2 linked regions of the Caenorhabditis elegans genome follow. The protein of the gene in region 2 purifies or fractionates together with the protein of the main gene of each other region. This does not show direct contact. Each region holds a gene or a part of one and is shown on either strand. Other genes may lie near its edges.

The links.
Region 1: the proteins of tag-335 (region 2) and sams-3 fractionate together in Caenorhabditis elegans (co-fractionation; one large-scale study listed by BioGRID). This does not show direct contact.

Annotation. Positions count from the first base shown.
Region 1 is NC_003282.8:5,844,706-5,854,540, forward strand, and holds sams-3 (putative S-adenosylmethionine synthase 3), read left to right. Parts: upstream 1-3,951; 5' UTR 3,952-3,982; coding exon 3,983-4,054; intron 4,055-4,099; exon of another isoform or gene 4,100-4,134; intron 4,135-4,182; coding exon 4,183-4,243; exon of another isoform or gene 4,244-4,612; coding exon 4,613-4,735; exon of another isoform or gene 4,736-4,836; coding exon 4,837-5,219; intron 5,220-5,270; coding exon 5,271-5,680; intron 5,681-5,726; coding exon 5,727-5,892; 3' UTR 5,893-6,138; downstream 6,139-9,835. Other genes in the region: sams-4 (putative S-adenosylmethionine synthase 4), read right to left, coding at 1-241, 293-675, 777-899, 1,273-1,333, 1,559-1,630; C06E7.4 (SH2 domain-containing protein), read right to left, coding at 6,224-6,412, 6,773-6,936, 6,989-7,295, 7,355-7,455, 7,828-7,952, 8,382-8,504. UniProt on the Caenorhabditis elegans protein: Catalyzes the formation of S-adenosylmethionine from methionine and ATP. The reaction comprises two steps that are both catalyzed by the same enzyme: formation of S-adenosylmethionine (AdoMet) and triphosphate, and subsequent hydrolysis of the triphosphate.
Region 2 is NC_003282.8:12,272,516-12,283,013, forward strand, and holds tag-335 (Mannose-1-phosphate guanylyltransferase catalytic subunit beta), read right to left. Parts: upstream 6,080-10,498; 5' UTR 5,882-6,079; intron 5,538-5,881; 5' UTR 5,517-5,537; coding exon 4,736-5,516; intron 4,688-4,735; coding exon 4,569-4,687; intron 4,175-4,568; coding exon 4,070-4,174; intron 4,013-4,069; coding exon 3,920-4,012; 3' UTR 3,575-3,919; downstream 1-3,574. Other genes in the region: vps-8 (Vacuolar protein sorting-associated protein 8 central domain-containing protein), read right to left, coding at 1-254, 311-652, 710-1,618, 1,682-2,182, 2,235-2,473, 3,169-3,322, 3,373-3,468; Protein-lysine methyltransferase vkmt-1, read left to right, coding at 6,260-6,331, 6,393-6,488, 6,532-6,984; Aminopeptidase ltah-1.1, read left to right, coding at 7,148-7,198, 7,243-7,581, 7,631-8,958, 9,008-9,119; C42C1.12 (PAP2_C domain-containing protein), read right to left, coding at 9,230-9,368, 9,418-9,569, 9,621-9,689; C42C1.19 (Major facilitator superfamily (MFS) profile domain-containing protein), read left to right, coding at 10,353-10,491. UniProt on the Caenorhabditis elegans protein: Catalytic subunit of the GMPPA-GMPPB mannose-1-phosphate guanylyltransferase complex. Catalyzes the formation of GDP-mannose, an essential precursor of glycan moieties of glycoproteins and glycolipids. Can catalyze the reverse reaction in vitro.

The sequences.
Region 1 (9,835 bases), 6.4 Mb from region 2:
CAAGTGACTTGGCAACCCAACGAGCAGCATATGCGGCAGAACGATCGACTTTGGTTGGGTCCTTTCCAGAGAAAGCACCTCCTCCGTGAGCTCCCCATCCTCCGTAGGTATCAACGATGATCTTACGTCCAGTAAGTCCAGCATCTCCCATTGGTCCTCCAATAATGAATGATCCACATGGATTGAGATGATAGATGGTCTTGTCGTCGATGAGATTGGCAGGAATTACAGCTTTGATAACCTAAAACCGAACAATAAATATAGCTGTATTTTTATTAATATTTTTAATTACCTTTTCGATGAGTTCCTTTCTCAAATCATCGAGACTGATATCTGGAGAATGTTGGGTGGAGATAACAACAGTGTGGACGCGTAGTGGGACACATGCTCCTCCTTCCGAAGCATATTCGATTGTGACTTGGGTCTTCGAGTCCGGACGAACCCATTCGAGCTCTCCAGATCTACGGAGCTCGTGAAGCTTCCGGTTCAGCTTGTGAGACAAGAGAAGAGTCAATGGCATCGCTTCTTCGGTTTCATCAGTAGCATATCCAAACATAATTCCTTGATCTCCGGCTCCGACATCGTCACTATCCTTGTCCACGTGGACTCCAGCAGCGATTTCAGGTGATTGTTGTTCGAGTGCAACAAGAACATTGCATGTCTTGTAATCGAATCCTGAAAATGAATACTGTATTTAATCAATAAACCAAGAAAATGAGATTCCTGACACAATGTGATGAGCCAATAGTGTAGAAACGAAATTATATTCTTCATACCTTTCGAGGAATCATCGTATCCAATTTTCTTAATGACGTTTCGGACGAGAACCTGGTAGTCGACGACAGCTTTCGAGGTGATCTCACCGCACAACATGATCATACCCGTTTTAGTCACCGTTTCTGTAATCAAAGTAACCGTTGTAACAGGTAAAGAAACATATTGTTGCGATAAGCTTCAGCCCCGTTTCCCGCATCATCCAACACCCGTAGAGCCTGAAATCAGAGACATGAATAGGCGAAATGCAAAAGAACCACAGTGATAGGTACGAGTTCACTGTTGATCCTTCTGCAAATCAAATTCACAACACAAATATCAATATCATGTTAATTCTGAGGTTAACACGACGCGAGTGTATTGAATCTGACCGCCTGTCTTCCATATCGCCGAATCTCTGAATGTTGTACGGATAATAATTGGGACTTTTGCTCATCGCAGCTCCATGTTGTTGTTGACATTTCGTTGGAGGATATCCAAAAGTCCTGAATCACTCACCACAAGCAACCTTAGCGTGAGGGTCTTGAGCCAGATGAGCGTCAAGAACAGCGTCCGAGATCTGAAAAACAAACATGAGAATGATAGACAGCTGCTTTCGAGCACGTGGGCCAATTTTCTACGCTTCGGAGATAACGTTTTGTTTGAAACTATACACATTTTGTCCCATAACTAACTTTTTACGAACTTGACAGATTTTTTTTTTCAACAGTAGCGTATTTCCAATCAAAAAATTTGATGGATTTGTTTATCTGGAAAAGACGATTTCTTATCAAATATAACTTACTTGGTCACACATCTTGTCGGGATGCCCCTCGGAGACAGATTCGGAGGTGAAAAGGAACTTGTGTTGCGGCATTTTATTTCGTTGATGGATGTTTGAAAGCGTCCGTCTGAAAGAGCGATGATATTTAGCTCAAATAAATAAAGGAAAGCGAGGAAGCGGAGGTGGGTTGAATAGAGGGCGGAGCGCCACGCAACAAAGAGAGACACAATACTCTGCGTCTTGTTGGAAACACGTTGCTCTAAAGTATAGTTTTGAGGGCGTTTTTTAGATTGCAATAAAACACAATTTTTTTGCGAGACAAGTGTGAATATTAGCCCGGAAAGCTCTACTTTTATACCATGAAGGTTGAACCTAGATCATCAGAAAACTACAGAGATTTAGAGAAAAAGGGAGCGAGAATTTTCGAAAAAAGAAGGATCAAAACAATTCTAAGGGCAAACCGTTATCTAAGGATGAGGAATTATGAAACACGTGTTATTTGAAACACCACAATAATATTTATATAAATATACGATGTTTAGAAATAAGAACACTGAGGAAGTTTTACTGTCATATTTTTGAAGAACATAAATCGAGATAAGGAAAAATATATAAAAGTCTTAGAGAACAAGACAGGCGACGTTTACAATCTAGAAAAATAAATGTCTAAAACTTTCGAAATATGCGTTCGAAGATTGTACAGATGAACCGGGAACACGGACAAAAAATCTTCGGAATTGAAGTCTCGCTGAACCTTATTGAAAGCTTCAGCAGATAAAGACAACTCACTTACACTCTTCGACGATGAAACGGTCAATGTTTTTTTTAATGTTATGCACTCCGAGAAATTTTGATAAAATTTCACGTTTTCACGTGTGGATATAGCCGAGTTCACTATGTTATCACGTTTTTACTCAATTCTTTTTAAAAGTATTATTATTGCAACAAGATCATTCCCAGCCTATACTATTGTGCAGAACATCGTTTGCAAGAAAAAAAGCTGTCGAGAGGGCAAAATCGGCCTGAACAAAGTTATTGCAAAACTTTGACATACTTTTTTATGTTTGATCATACGATTTTCATCGCTCTCCTCAAATTCATATTTGTTTTTATTTCCTCTAACAGTGTAATTGTGCTAATGGATATATGATCATGAAACTATTCAATTTGCAGAAAATCAATAGACTTTGCCCTTTTGTAAAAGCGCAGAAGCTCAGTTTCCACAACATGAAAAAAGCAAATACTCTAGACTTTAGGAACGGATTATAGTAGCCATTATCAGTAATGTAAACTTTAAAAAGCAAAGGAATCAAGAAAACAGGTTCTAATTTAGAACAAATAGCAACTTGGTAAATAAGAATTGGCCTTGTACTTTTAAGTTTGTAGTCTCACTTGCTTTTTGTCATGGTGTTTTGCTCAATTATCGAGAAACTGTAAGAATGATGAAACTACTTCCAAAATGTTTAATCGTATTTAACAAACACGTGGGTTAAATAGAAAAATAAATTATATCTCAAATAGAACAGTGATTTTTCACTGAAAAAAACGGATTTTAAAGCCTTTTTAAACCTAATCAAGCAGAAAAAACAATTAATACGATATTCGATATTTTTCCGTAACTTTTCTTGTTAATTCCGATATCTAGGAATCTCATATCTCGATTATTTCGATCTATTCATGATAGGGGAAAGCTTTCAGATATTTCCAGTTTCTAATTAGCGAAACAGATCTAATCTAGAACATTTATCGCCATCCGTGAGACAGCTGTTAAATTCTAGTTTAAGGATCGGCTAAAATTCGAATAAAATGCGACGAAAATTCAAAAAAGCCAGCAGATTTATAGAAATTTGCATAGAAAATGAAGAAAATGGAAAAAAGTGTTTTTACAAGTGTCGTAATGTGTTGGGCATTGTACGTGACAGTTGCTCACGGTGTTTGCGGACTTTGACAATTTCTGGATTTTTTGGGCCTTTTTTTTGTGCATTTTTCGCATATTTGTTTCTAATTTTCACAAGAATTTTAATTAAATTTACACGAATATTTTAATTTTTCGCTAAAATAACTGCTCAACAAAGTTCCGAGCCATATATAATCTTTCTCCAGATATTTCTGTAAATGTTCATGTGTTATCCGGATTCTTTGTATTACCAGAAATTTTATTTTATTCGAAACAATTATTTACAAAAGCTATTTGAGTTTGGGAGTATGTGGCTAGTTATCGATTTTCTAATTTTCAGTTTTGGGCTCTATTATGGCTTCAAATGTTTCATTTCAAACATTTCACAGTAGTTTTATTTGCAAAAAATAATGTTTATTCAACTTGATCGTTTTGCTACGAGGTGCTCCGCCTCTTATTCGTTCCTTCTTCCCTTTCCGTTTCTATTTATTAATCCAAACCGAACCACTATTTTCAGACGAAGTGTTTCAACCTTACAACCAAACAAAATGTCGCAACACAAGTTCCTTTTCACCTCCGAATCTGTCTCTGAAGGGCATCCTGACAAGATGTGTGACCAGGTAAGTAACCAACGAAACATTAATAAGGTGCCAGGTTTTTTTTAGTTTCATGGTTTCGAAAATGCGTATATATTTTTGATGTCAGCCATTCTTCGCGTCATTTCTCAAACGAAGATTTCTATTTTCAGATCTCGGACGCTGTTCTTGATGCTCATTTGGCTCAAGATCCTCACGCAAAGGTTGCATGTGGTAAGTGGTTCAGGACTTCTTGATATCCTTCAGCGAAAGTTCAACAACAATATGGAACTGCGATGAGCAAAAGTCCTAATTATTATCCCCTAACAACGTTCAGAGATTCGGCGGAAGACATGGAAGTCAGGCGGTCACATTCAGTACACACACATCGTGTTAACATGATATTGATATTTGTGTTGTGAATTTGATTTGCAGAAGGATCAACAGTGAACTCGTACCGTTCACTGTAGTTCTTTTGCATTTATCGCCTATTCATGTCTCTGATTTCAGGCTCTACGGGTGTTGGATGATGCGGGAAACGGGGCTGAAGCTTATCGCAACAATATGTTTCTTTACCTGTTACAACGGTTACTTTGATTACAGAAACGGTGACTAAAACGGGTATGATCATGTTGTGCGGTGAGATCACCTCGAAAGCTGTCGTCGACTACCAGGTTCTCGTCCGAAACGTCATTAAGAAAATTGGATACGATGATTCCTCGAAAGGTATGAAGAATATAATTTCGTTTCTACACTATTGGCTCATCACATTGTGTCAGGAATCTCATTTTCTTGGTTTATTGATTAAATACAGTATTCAATTTCAGGATTCGATTACAAGACATGCAATGTTCTTGTTGCACTCGAACAACAATCACCTGAAATCGCTGCTGGAGTCCACGTGGACAAGGATAGTGACGATGTCGGAGCCGGAGATCAAGGAATTATGTTTGGATATGCTACTGATGAAACCGAAGAAGCGATGCCATTGACTCTTCTCTTGTCTCACAAGCTGAACCGGAAGCTTCACGAGCTCCGTAGATCTGGAGAGCTCGAATGGGTTCGTCCGGACTCGAAGACCCAAGTCACAATCGAATATGCTTCGGAAGGAGGAGCATGTGTCCCACTACGCGTCCACACTGTTGTTATCTCCACCCAACATTCTCCAGATATCAGTCTCGATGATTTGAGAAAGGAACTCATCGAAAAGGTAATTAAAAATATTAATAAAAATACAGCTATATTTATTGTTCGGTTTTAGGTTATCAAAGCTGTAATTCCTGCCAATCTCATCGACGACAAGACCATCTATCATCTCAATCCATGTGGATCATTCATTATTGGAGGACCAATGGGAGATGCTGGACTTACTGGACGTAAGATCATCGTTGATACCTACGGAGGATGGGGAGCTCACGGAGGAGGTGCTTTCTCTGGAAAAGACCCAACCAAAGTCGATCGTTCTGCCGCATATGCTGCTCGTTGGGTTGCCAAGTCACTTGTCAAATCAGGACTCTGTCGCCGTTGTCTTGTTCAAGTATCTTATGCAATCGGAGTAGCCAAACCACTTTCAGTGATGGTGTTCTCTTTCGGGACATCTGCGTTGAACGAAGGAGAACTATTGAAAATTGTCAATGACAACTTTGATTTGCGACCTGGAATGATTATTAAGTATGTCAGCCACAAACTAATATTTTTGTTAATTGTAAAGTTTCAGGGATCTCGATTTGAAGAAACCAATTTATGAACCAACCGCTGAGAACGGACACTTTGGACACAATGAATTCCCATGGGAGCAGCCACGTCATCTTCAGATTGATGTTGAACTTCTTAAAAAGATTGGAGGAAAAACGATCTCAAACGGAAATGGAATTGCCCATTGATTGTACAATGTCTGATTCATTTGTTGTTTTGATTGTTTCTTGTTTTCTCTAATAACCATTGTTTTATTCAGTTCTAATTGCATTTTTCTCTTATCCCATCCTCACTTGTTTACCTGTATTTCCGCAATATCCTCGATATCCACATACTTCAGATTTCAAATCCCAAATTCCTCCCCAATTTCTTCAAATAATCTATCTATCCCCTTTCCTTTTTCAATATAAGACCTTATAAAAAATCATTTATTGAGAATAATTTTTGTGAAAGAAAATTGAGCGAAGACGAATCGAAATGAGGCACGAGTAGATGGAGTTTGGGAATGACGGATAATATTCAAAACGCAATACTGCTTCGGTAACGACGATCTTCAGATGAATGCTGCTGCTGTTGCTTCTGAATTCGATAAATTCGACGTTCAGCAGGACCGCCAATCTCTTTCGTGTGGATTGAGAGTGGGGAATAATCAGCCGGTGGGATTTCAGACGTCGTCAGTAATTGATGACTGGATCGTGACAGGAATGACTGGAAAATATCTAATTATTAGGAGTTCAAATTACAACTATTACAGAAACACCACAAAATTCTACGCGCAAGATATCTCGTAGCGAAAGCTACAGTAAAAAATCCTAAAATTACTAATACTATAGCGCTTGTGTCGATTTACGGGCTCTTTTTGGCATCTTTGATTTATTTATCGGTAGAATGTTAAACAAAGAATGAAATTAATACGAAGAAACGAAGGAAATCAGGTCAGTAAATCGACACAAGAGCTACCGTAGTCATTTAACGAATTACTGTAGTTTTCGTTACGAGATATTTTGCATGGTCAAATATGTGGTGCAATACGCATTCTAAGAATTTTGTGCTTCCGTAATAACTAACCGGCTCCTTCCGATCATTTCTTCTTGCTTCAATCTCGAAAGCCGCAGTCTTTTCCAGCACACTACTCTTCCGTCTGTTTCTCTTCTCATCGTTCTCCTTCTCATTATCACTTGGAACTGGTGGAGGATCCATTCCGAAGTAGAATTCAGGAAGACTATCGATTCCTGGAATATTATTATTTAGTCAAAAATCATCGAAAACTAAAAAAAAACCAACGTTTTGATTCTCTCTTCAGTTTGTCCTCTTCCTCATTAACCCATGAAAAATCAATTTCCGATTGATCACATCTCATTTGTGACGTGGCAATTGACGAAGATCTCGAGCCATATGATGGTTGACGACGGATTATTGGTTGAGCATATGTTGCATTTGAATTATTCAATGTTTGATTATGTTGAATCCGTGATGACGTTGAAGAGGCTGTCTGGGCTGCAGTTGGTGGTGCTCTTTTTGTGGGCTCCGACACCTGTTGCTCCACTTTTTCACTTCGCTCAACTTTTACTTCTATCGTTTTTGTGATTGGCTGGAAAAGTAAAAACATAGGATTCAATAAATAGTATTGGGGAAATTTTTAAATCTTACAGGTTGTGGAGACTTGATGACCTGATGATGCTGAAGTTGCTGGTGATTGTGGTGATTGTGGTGATGTGGTGTGCTACTGTACATTGGTGGCGAGATAATGTCTGAAGTTAAAGATGTGTTCCAAAAAAAATCTTTTTTGTTCAGAATCTGTAATTTTTCTGGTTTTTAAAAAAGTTTCAGATATCATATTTTTCCTATTGGAGCTTGCACTGCTTCACTTTAGCGGCTCATATACGGTCATTTTTAGTTTTATGAAAACAAATTAAAATATAGAAGAATATTTTTCACGTGCTTCGTCCGTAAAAAATTCTGGTAAAATCAAAAAGAACCGAGCTATAAAGCGTCAAAGTGGAACAAGACCAATAAGATTTCTCATTTTTCTATTAAAAAATAATTTCGGTTTCACAATTGTTATAAAATTTCCAGTGAATTCACGTTTTATTCACCTTCTTTTTAATTTCTCAAATCTATACCTCGTTTTCCTGAAGAAATGCTAGATGTGTTCCATGGATCTGAAGAATGTCCACCTTCTTCTGATGATGTCATTGGGGACGATGAAGCCAGCGAGCCGTTAAGTTCGGCTCGGCGGTTGGTGCTTCTGAAAATTGAACATATATTTTATAGCACTCAAATTGGTAAATGTTTTGCTGTATTGAATTCAAGAGACTGAAATTTTTTAGTTTACAGAGTATTTCTACAAATCTATATTACCTTTAAAAAATTAGAAAAGAAAAAAAGACCTCAAATTATTTCCACAAAATTTGAGAACTGACAGTTTTTTGATAACTATTTTTGGTGGAATTAGAGCTGTTGGAAATTAAAAAATTTGAGGAATTTTTTTGCAAAATAGTTGATAAGATTCTATGAAATATTTGTTGATTATCACTATTTGGAATTCATGAAAAAAAGTTTTGGAATATAATTTCAAAAAATTATTATTGCACCAAAAACGATCGCACCACAATCTTGTGCAAAACTAAAACAAGTTGTTTCAATGAAATTCCCAAACTTGAATAAAGTAACTCACGAGTAATTATGCTTCACATATTGGCTCTGTGTTTCTCGTCTTGTTGGTAATCCTCGTCGCTCATCAGAAGTTCTCCAGTCACGTTGACGCATTCGAACGTCGATTTCAGGTGCTTCGTGCATTCTGGAAATTAATCGATTAATCGATATATGTATACATCTTGTGCATCCTAATATTAAACTAAAAGGCATACAATGAGTAGGTAATTTGTTTAAAACCGTAGCTATAGTTTTATAAAGTCCAAATATCATAATGAAACATTTCAAAATAATTTCAAGCTGTTTTAATTTGAAGTTTTAAAAAAGTGGAAACAATTTAGTTTTCACCTGTAGTTATTTCGAAAAGTCGTTCAAAAATAAGTGGTTCCAAACGAAATTTATACATTTTTTGAAGCTTTGGCATTTTGCCAAAATGCTGTAGTTGTTTTACCGCAATTTATAAATTCGAACTTTTTTTGAAGTGTATTTTTTTTGGTAATTTTGGACTATTTAAGATCTATTTAAACTAAATCCTCACTGACGATAGTCCACATTTAACCCTTATTCAGAATATTCAAGTTTTGCAACCGGAACTCTAAATTGCTACAAATTGGGAGGATCTATTTGACAATTGAGTCCATTAGCAATACAGTTGTTTTTTCCCTTTTTTTCATGTTAAATCCATCACCCATTCGAATTTCTTTTTAACCGTCACTTTCTCGTTTTTCCCGATACATGTTTTGTTCGACATTCATCCAGTTCTTTTTCACTCATTTTCGGTCATCTGTTCCTCCCGAACATCCGGTGAAAAGAGGAAAGATTTACAGCTGAGATTAGCGTGAAGACATTTCAAATGGGTTTTTTTTTGTTCGCTGGTGAAAATGGCCTGTTTGAGGCTTTGAAGATTTGAGAATTCTTTTTTAGGGAAACCGTAACGGCGAATTAACCTTGAACCTCGATCGTCTGGGAAGAAGGATTATGAAAAGTAAATCCAAAAAAAAAATTTCATGGTAGGCAGGTTGCATGCCTTTGTGCCTGCTTTACCTCTACCTTTTTCTGCATCTAAGCACTAACACAGATGCTGAAAGGTGGACTATATAGAGCTAAACTGACCTGTGTTAGTGCCTAGAGAGATACCATAGTGAAACGATTTTTTGAAATTTTTGTCTATTATAAAAGTGGATTTCAAATTAGAGCATATTTTGCTTCCACATATTAACTATTTGTTGAAACTGTGAAAATTAAAAAAAAAATTTTTTAATTTCACGCAAGGCTTGCACGTAGGCACAAGGCAGGCAGTAGAAAAGACAAGCCCCCAATCTTTACAAAATCCATGCACTACTATATTTCCACATTCTTTCTTTCTCTCTCTCTACCAATTAGTGGGCATTCTCAACCACTCTAATTCAAAAAAAAACGACTCATTCCCGCAAAGGGTCATATTGTTCCTTAATAACCCCTCCGCCGTTTCTTCCC
Region 2 (10,498 bases):
GTTGGACGCATTGGATTTTGAGCCGCGCGGATTATTCTTCTTTTATCATCAGGAGTCACATGGTATAGTGCAGTTAAAATTGAATTTTCCGTGCTTGAATGTTCCCAAGGAGACATTCTCAGTAGAGTTATCACTGAATCTTGGACATGTTCGATTGGTGGAGCTATCAAAACTCGCTCGGAGAGTTGTACCACGAGGTTGAGAAAGTGAATGAGGGATAATTCACATTTCATATTTACACATAGTTGTCCTATCTGAAATTGATTAGAAATAGATCATGGATATTATATCAAAAACTCATCGCACTTACCGTATCCACAAACCGTTGTAGCCGATTATCCAATTGAAAAAGAAGAACATCTGCGCAAGTGCTCACCACGTTTAGAAACTGTTGTGGATCATATTTCAGCAGCAATCTCAAATATGGATATTGTTCATCGGATTCACTTCCATCTTTCTCTTTTAAAGAACTGATACATCGAAATGTTTCAAGTGGAACTCTCTTTCGATTCTCTTCATCAAGAGCACCAAATGGATATGCCATTCCAGAAAGACAACAGTTTAGATAAACGAGAACTTTATTTCCTAGAATTTGTTCGCTATCCGAAAACATGTCTCGATGTGCAAATGTTCGCATTTCTGCCAGCATGTTCTGAAAAAAAACATTGATTTTTATTTTGAATTTTATGATTTTGAATATATTTTTAACCTCTAATGGAGTTATATAATCATTAAGTGCCTTGTTATTCACATAAATGATTCCATCATATATTGAATTCTGCTTGCAAATTGACATAACTGTATGAAGATCAAGCGTATGAATTGGAAAGCGAACAACTGCTGACTGAAACTGTGAGAAATGTCCTTCTGCAGCAAGATGTTGTAGATATTCGTTGACAAGTGGAGGTGGAGGGTCAATGAGAGCTCCATCGAGAACATATTCATCCAGATGATCCAAGAATACAGTTTTCGAAAGAGAATCCATAGATAGTCGATCCCAACAAGCTATGTAAAGAAAATCCAATAGTCGTCCAGTGATACAGACTTTCAGTAGAACTCGAATATATTTTCTGTAATGAGCCAACAGATCTGACAATGCACCTCCACCGACTCCTGCTACTGTTTCGGTTAGAAGACTGTGCGCTTTTTCAGCTAAAAGACTATGTGATTCTCGTTTGAACATCTCACTGGCTCGTACTTTATCACGACAGACATCCAATAGATAAAGGGATGCTGAAATCACATCGTTTCGTTCTTTATATCTTTCTAATTGCTCCCATTCATGAACTTTCTCCAAATATTTGAGACCATCGTGAGCCAAGACGATAAGTCGTTCTGAAGTAGATGTTGCTGACGTCACAGATTGATAACATGCGAATTCTGCAACAGCTTTTACTGCTTCACTGACTCTTCCTCCTGTTGCTGATCCTTTAAGAATTGGTGTTGAAAAGACTAGTTGAAGATCTTCAATATCTTGTTTTTTCGCTGTCCCCTTTTCAGGATCAATTTGCCAAACGGCTCCAAATGAATCGATTCCAACAATCATGTGATTACTCATCCAGTGAATATTTACAAGTGAGCATGGTAATTCTAGTTGTCGGATTACGGTAGCACGTCGCTGCAAATTTAATTTTCAGTAGTAAGTATTTAACTACATCTATTTTTTCTTTTCTAAACTTACATATTTGGTGAAAAAGTTGTTCGCGTGTATTCTGAGAATTGCCAACTTGTTTCCACGACTTATGCAAACTCGGAAGTCTTTCAAAGTTGTTGAATAAAGAGAGTTTAGCGGTGAGTTGATAGCTGTTTTCGGAGTTCCTAGCCAGAATGAGCAGGCAGGCGGAAATTGGTATTCGAATTTGATAGGGAAAATGCCAAGAATTTGACCTCGAGGTTTCAGAATATAGAAAATTAGCCTATGAACTGATAAAAGTGCAATAACATCTCCAGGCATCATTTTCATCGAGATAACCTCTCCATTGCATCCCGACACGTGACATCTTAGCTTATCTTTTCGTTTTTGAAGCCAAGGTTTACTGATTGTACATTCGTAAAAACTTCCACCATTATCGAGAGTCAGCACAGTGTGATTGTCTTTTGTGTAGATAACTTGTATAATTCCCTGTCCAGGCTGCCCACCTTCGTCAATCATATGATAGAGCTTATTGTCGATGGTCATTATCTGAAATAATTTTTTTTAAATTTAAATTTTAACTTTTTGTTGAGTTCCCCACTTTAATAGCTCCTTTCTGCAAGCCAATCGCCAGAAATTTTCCATCCAACGAAAACGTCACACAGCTTGCTCCTCCCATTGTCTCATCGCCACGATGAAATTGATTAAGATTTCCATTTAAATCGAAAAGAAGCAGTTGTCCTTTACTTGTGACCACTGCGATCCATCCATTTCTTTCAGCAACAGCAATCACTCGTCCAGTCTTCTTTTCATTTGAGAGAATTTGATGGGATATTACTTCTGAACAAAATATTGAATTTTATGTGTATGTAATATTATAAAGATGCGAAAAAAATTAGGATCTTGAGACGACCAAAACGTTTTTTAAGAGTCAAAAAATGACCCAAATGTCTGAAAATTTCGAAAAAAAAGATAACATTTTGCTGAAAGATCGTAAACGTTGTTCTCGTGGTGGTGGCTGGTAGCCAGTTTTCATTGAAATATCACCATTTTATGGCAAATTTTTTGAACATTATAAACATTTCGTGTATTCAGGCACATTTTAAGCCGATAAACATCCAATTTCGATTATTTTTGATTGAGATATCCTCGAAATGTGCCTAAACCAACGATTTAATGCGAGATAAACTATCAAAATATGCAATAAAGGTGATAATAGAATAAAAAATGTATTCCAGCTGCTGCGGCAAAGAAAAGTTGGCAAAATTTCAGATTTCAGCAAGCTCTGGTTTTTTTTGAAAGTTTGAAATAAAATGTTTTTAAAATTTAATTTAAATCCAGTACTTTTGGGTTACTTCCTCTTTCATTAAATTTGAAAATATGCAAAGAACTCTAGAAAAAACAAAGCGAAAACTTTTTAAAAAACAATGAAAGAATACGACAGTATTCCTTAAAGGCGCACGCACTTTCTTCAGTCGTGTCGAGACCCTTGAGTCCTAAATCTTAAAAATTCGTTTTTTTGTCTATTTTCTTACGATGTGGTTGAATTACAAACGCTGAATCGAGTTTATATGTCAGAGAGTGTGAATCTGGAGAGTGTGCAGTCGATTCTGTCAAATTAGAGACTGATCCGAATTCTCCATCAACTGCGAATTGTTCATCCAAAAACGGATCACTCAGGTTTTCTGTCTGAAATTTAATAGATTTACTTTCAGCTTTATCATTTTTATATCGATTACATCATTCAGTGCATCTTCCAGTGAAAATGTTGGAGCATTGTTAAGATCACCCAAATCGAGCCAGTCTTCCTTTTCTAATGAGCCAGATGTGCTCATTTATCGAGACTGGAGTTGCCAATTATTTTTTTCGAAGGGAATAAACTTCATTTCATCAATATTTTTCAATTTTGGCGTTTACCAAGCAATTTTCTATGATTAACGAATAACCACAATAATTTATTTAACAAGAAATCAACCGGCGCAATCAAGAAAACAGAGAAAGAAAAACATGCCATGATTAAAAATAAATAAAAACAATAAAATTCCTGAAGAATACAATTAATCACCCAGTAGATTGTATAGATTAATCTATAGATTTTAGATTTTCGAGTAAGTGGAAAGAGAAAATTTGGATTTTTAGCCCGCCTATCAGGAAACAAAAACTGATTTTCACATAATTAAATTAATTCAAATAATACAATAAATATCACAAGTTTGAAAGTTGGCACTTTGGTAAAATGAGTTATGACTAAAGAGTGCGATAAAGAATCAATAAAATTGATATATTTTACATAATAATGTCTTTCGACGGAACATTCACAGCAATCGACTTGTGTGGCAAGACACTGGCACCGTTGAGATATAATTCATCCTTTACAACCTGTAATTTAAAATGTTTAAGTTTTCAATTAGAACAAACGAATTCATGTCGTCTTACCACATCATCTCCAATAACACAAATATTCTCGATACGAACCCAGCTTCCAATGTGACATTTTCGACCAACTATACTTCCAGAAACCCATGAATAGTTGCCAATTGACTGCAAAAAAAATTGATGAAATTTAATAATTTTATGTAGCACAATAAATTTTGAACCATGGGCGCATTGCCGACCAACAATTCTAGAAAATGAGCCGGGGTGGCATCAATATTTTTAATCAAAATTTAAAATTGAAAATAGACTTTATTTCAATTTGAAAAATCGAAAAAAGTGCTCCAAAATTGTCTGGAGTTGAAAATTACTGGAATACTGGAATATAGATAATTTGAAGAAGTTTTTTCGGTAAGTTTCAACTGAAATAAAAGCTATTTTCAAATGAAGCAATTCTTTTTCCACACTCCATCACTAAATTTTAATTTTAAAAAAATTGATTCCACACTGGCTCATTGTGTAGAAATACAGGCCGGCACTAGCTGACAAGATCAACTCATACCGAATCGGAAAGAATTGTCGAGTGCAGGATTCGAACTCCACCTTCGATCTTCACACGTGGACCAATAACGACATCTGGCCCAATCACACAATTTTCTCCAACAGTAGCCGATGGGTCAACTGAAAAATTGAACAAAATATTTAATTTCTGCTAATTAATTCATTTACCCATCACATTTCCACGAATAGTAGCTGTTGGATGTATGTTTGATCCTGTTTCGAGTTTATCGGATTTTGTAGTATGACAATGATTTAGGAAAAGGGACATTCCTTTGAGAAAATCTTTCGGTTGACCTACATCCATCCAAAAGCCAGGAAGTACAAAAGCGTACAAATTTCCAGAGAATGCCATTTCGGGGAAAATTTCCTTCTCGATACTAGTAGGTTTCAGTGGGATGCGGTCGAGAATTTTGGAGCTAAAAATGTAGAGACCTGCATTGATCTTGTTACCAACGTATTCCTGTGGTTTCTCCACAAAATCATCAATTTTTCCTTTATCTTGATCGAAAACTACTACTCCATATTTCGATGGTTCTTCTACTTTTGTAACGGCAATTGTTCCTTCTTTTCCGTGATTCTTGTGGAATTCAACCATTTGTTTGAAGGGAAAATCACAAATTACGTCGCTGTTCAAAACGAAAAACGGTGCATCGCCTTCCAAATGTTTTCGAGCAAGAGCCAGTGGGCCAGCAGTTCCCAGAGGTTCCTCTTCTAAAGAGAATATCAGTTTGACTCCAAGTCTATCTGCATGAACTGTCATTTCTTGCTCCAACTGTTCTGCTCTGTAACTGACAGCGAGAACAACTGTATCGACTCCTACTTCAGCCAACGCTTCCATCTGATGCAACATCATCGGCTTGTTGGCAAATTCGACCAGAGGTTTTGGCTGGGTTAGTGTAAGCGGCCTCAACCGTGTTCCGTATCCTCCGACTAGAATCAGCGCCTTCATTGATGGAAGTGGTGAAACAACCTGAAAATTATGAAAATAAATTAAAATAGTGAAAAATTGATGAAGAGCTCGATGAAATGGGGGAAAATGAAATATGAGAGTATAATTGATAGTGCATATACAATTAGAGAGAGAGAGGGAGTGAGAGGGCGGCTGACGTGGCGCTTTTTTACTCCACTGTCTTGTTGAATAAATAAACCATTTTTGTTCCCATGTGAACCAATAATATAGTTGAGACTGAATGATAATCGCCTGACTGATATAGGTCAGCATTCAGCGGGCAGGTTTTCTCGGAGGAAAGGATATAGGATGAACAGGAACTTAATTGAGAACTTTCGGTGAAATGCCAAACACGAAACACTCGCCTTTTGCTTTATCCAATAATTTTTCATCATTATGAATGCAAAAACGATTTTCGAAAGCTTTGGAAAACTAGGAAATGGCAAAAGCTGTTGGAACAACTGAGTGCATGCTAATTCCACGTTGTACTCAGCTTTTTGTCGTGTTGTTTCACAATGGGGCGCGTTTCTGGCACAAAGAAAACAAGTATGAAACAAAAAAAGAAAAGAAAATGTCATGAAAACTGGAAAAACAGAAAAACCAAATCCGATAAAGCTACAGTGTTCATTAAAGGAGAATACCACAAAACCTTAAAAGAGTCTCGGCCCGAACAACTTTTCTCGGCCGTGTACTCCTCGTGGAGAACTGACAGTGGAGTAATTTTTTCGTTCTCTCAATCGAATATGGCGGAAAGTGAAGAATATGCGCGAGTAATATCGTTTAATAACGACCATGATGAGCTTATAATATATCAGGTTACTGATTTAATATATTTACGAAGACTATTTCTGTAAAAAATTCTATAAAATCATTCAGGAAACTGTAACGGATGTCGGCGGAGTGATTTGGGACAGCGCACTGATGACTATTCACTATTTTTTCAAATACCCAAAACCTTTTGAAGGCAAGAAAGTGAATTTATAGGTTTTTATCAAAAATATATGTTTTTGTTCAGGTCTTGGAACTTGGAAGTGGAACTGGTGTTGGAGGAATCGCTTTGGCCGCACTTGGAGCTGATGTCATCATTACTGACCTGCCAGAAAGACTTGCGTTAATTGAGAAAAATGTTGAAGCAAATCGAAAATTGACTGGAAATCGAATCAAAGTTCAAGTTCTCGACTGGACAAAGGACAGAATACCGGAAGGACTGGATATGGTTCTGGCAATTGATTGTGTATACTACAACAGCACTATAGATCCGTTGATAACCTTGTTGAATGATTGTGATGCAAAGGAAATTATGGTGGTCAGCGAGGAAAGGGACATCGGAGAGGCTCATTTGGCTCAAAAATCATTTTTCAAGGATATTCAAAAGTTCTTCCGCCTGGAGCTAATTCCTCAGAAGGAGCTTGATGAAGACTATTGTGCAGACGATATAATTATAGGAAAACTGATAAGAAATGTCTAGTCATACATGTATTGTTATTTCTTCATTGATAAACGTTCCAATTTCTATTGTGTTTTAACCATGTCAATCATGTGGTTGATAATACCACTGAAATATTTTCCATTTTAGATGTATACACCTCACCAGTGTAACATAAAATATTTCTAATTGTCAATTTCAGAATATGGCACCTCCACATCCGAGAGATCCCTCTACTGCTGCAAACTATGAACAGGTATAAAATTATTTATCATTTTCATTTTTTAAAATTAACTCCAGGTCACTGTTTCCCACTACGCTCTCAAGTGGAAAGTTGACTTTGAGAAAAAGCATATTGCTGGAGATGTATCAATTACGTTGGATGTTAAGCAGGATACTGAAAGAATTGTTCTGGACACTCGTGATCTATCGGTCCAATCAGTCGCCTTGAATTTGAACGGCGAGCCGAAAAAGGCTGGATTCACATTGGAAGACAATCAAGCTCTAGGGCAGAAACTTGTCATCACAACTGAAAGCTTGAAGTCCGGTGATAGGCCAGTACTCGAAATCAAGTATGAATCCAGCAATAATGCGGCTGCTCTTCAATTTTTGACTGCTGAACAAACCACGGATAGAGTTGTGATTTTTAAATTTAAAGTACACTTTTCTAAAATCTTTGATAATTCAGGCTCCTTATCTATTCTCTCAATGCCAAGCAATTAATGCTCGTTCAATCGTCCCCTGCATGGATACTCCATCGGTTAAAAGTACCTACGAAGCTGAAGTATGCGTTCCAATTGGATTAACCTGCCTTATGTCAGCTATTGGACAAGGATCAACACCATCTGAATGTGGAAAAAGAACAATTTTCTCTTTCAAACAGCCAGTTTCAATTCCATCGTATCTTCTTGCGATTGTTGTTGGACATTTGGAACGGAAGGAAATCAGCGAAAGATGCGCCGTCTGGGCCGAGCCATCTCAAGCAGAAGCTTCGTTTTACGAATTCGCTGAAACTGAAAAAATTCTGAAAGTTGCTGAGGATGTTGCCGGTCCGTATGTCTGGGGAAGATATGATTTGGTTGTTCTTCCAGCAACTTTTCCATTTGGAGGAATGGAGAATCCTTGTCTCACTTTCATTACTCCAACTCTTCTTGCTGGTGATCGCAGTCTCGTCAACGTTATTGCTCATGAAATTTCACACAGTTGGACTGGAAATCTCGTCACTAATTTCTCCTGGGAACATTTCTGGCTAAACGAAGGATTTACAGTTTTCTTGGAGAGAAAGATTCATGGTAAAATGTACGGAGAACTGGAGAGACAATTTGAAAGTGAAAGTGGATACGAAGAAGCTCTCGTTCGCACTGTCAATGATGTTTTTGGACCAGATCATGAATATACAAAACTTGTTCAAAATCTTGGAAATGCTGACCCAGATGACGCTTTTTCATCAGTTCCATACGAAAAAGGATCGGCACTGTTGTTCACAATTGAGCAGGCACTGGGTGATAATTCTCGTTTTGAACAGTTCCTGAGAGATTACATTCAAAAATATGCCTATAAAACTGTCTCTACTGAAGAGTGGAAAGAGTATCTCTATGATTCATTCACTGATAAGAAGGTTATTCTGGACAATATTGACTGGAATTTGTGGCTTCACAAAGCCGGACTTCCACCAAAGCCAAAATATGACTCAACTCCGATGCAAGCTTGCAAGGATCTTGCCGCTAAATGGACTACAGAAGGATCCGAGGCACCAACTGACGGAGAAGTCTTCGCAAAGATGTCTAATTCTCAAAAGCTTGCTGTTCTCGATGCAGTTCGTGTGAACAAGACTATGTTTGGAGATCGAATGCCTGCGTTGACAGCCACCTATAAACTGGATCAGGCTAAAAATGCAGAGCTAAAATTCTCATGGCTGATGCTTGGTCTCGAAACGAAGTGGTCTCCGATTGTTGATGCAAGTCTAGCGTTCGCGTTGGCTGTTGGTAGAATGAAGTATTGCAAACCAATTTACAGGTGAAAATAAGATGATATTGAAAATCTTAAATTTAAATTTATAATTCAGATCTTTGTTCGGATGGAGTGCAACACGTGATCGAGCCATCTCACAATTCAAGGCAAACATCCCAAATATGCATCCAATCACTGTGAAAGCAATCCAAAGTCTTCTCAAATAAGTAGACAATTCTATCGCATGTACATCGCATAATTTTTCATCGTTTATTATTTTTATTTATCAATCGATTATCGAACTGTAAAAGTAAAGATCCTATCAAGTGTACCCGGCTCATTTCTCTTCCCGAATCTTCCGTAAATCATAGTCTGACCAGTCGTACTTGCATTTGTACGGCATGAATCGTTCTGGTACACCTTTCAGACGTAGTAATCGCATCTCTTTCCATTTATCATAATCTTTTTGTGAATCTCTGTAAGTAGTTAAAGTTATTATATAAACCAAAATGGGAATTCTAATACCGAACACTTATAATGACCGAGCAGGGAATGGAAATCATACTGAGTGCATACGCCAATTTCGCACGTCCTGTCACTCCATACACAAACATATTGGTGAGCACAAAATTTGTGAACATTGAAATTCCTGTTTGCGTAAAACCAGGATCTGGATTCTGAAAATTAATTAATAAAATGTGTTTGGAGGAAGAAAACAAAAGATTAACCTTGAAAAGTCCGAATAATTTTGCATTCTGGAGCGGTGGATTCTCGTCGTCTTCTACAGTTGCACTCATTTTCTGAAAAATTGCAATAGTAATTATAATTATATATAATTACGATAAAAAAGGTGACAGTTTTTAATATGAAAAAGTTTTGATTGTTTAAATATTTACTTCAATGTGGTGGCATGCTTATCAATAAGCATTCTTAAATAATTATATTTTCAATTTAAATATATTTTTAATTAGAAACTAATATTTCAAATCGGGATTGAAAGAATTTTAATATTTTGATAACAAAATAAAAAATGGTGTCTGAAAAAAAATCGAGCAAACTTCGAGTGGTACGCAAACACCAGACTTTACGACAAAATGCAGAATGTTGCCCGAACTGTTTTTTTTTCAGGGTTTTGTTTTTAATATTATGTAAATATTTCTTTTTACATTTTTAGTTAAAAAAAACGCATTTTAAAGTTTCTTAACTTTTTTCCCAAGTCTTATTTTTGTATAATGTAACAAATCAATCCACTATTGTATCCCCACACTCTCTAAAACGATTTCTAGGCATTATTTGACATCTTAAAAATCAAACAGTCATTTTCCCTCTGAACAATTGCCCTAATTGTTCAATACCATTCCTTTTTGCTTAATCATTTCCTTTCTATAACATTTTGTTCTCTGAAAACAATTTCCAATGAAACGAAGAAACCTGCCCTAGGAACACGAGGAACATCATTGATGGCGACGTCTCCAACCAATTATTTCAAATTCGGAGCCGTTTTCTGCATTTACGTGGCTTATGTGCTTTTTCGACGACTTCCAATTGCATTCCTCTCACAAATTCGAACGGAAATTCAGATTTCAAATGATGATATAGGTTGGTT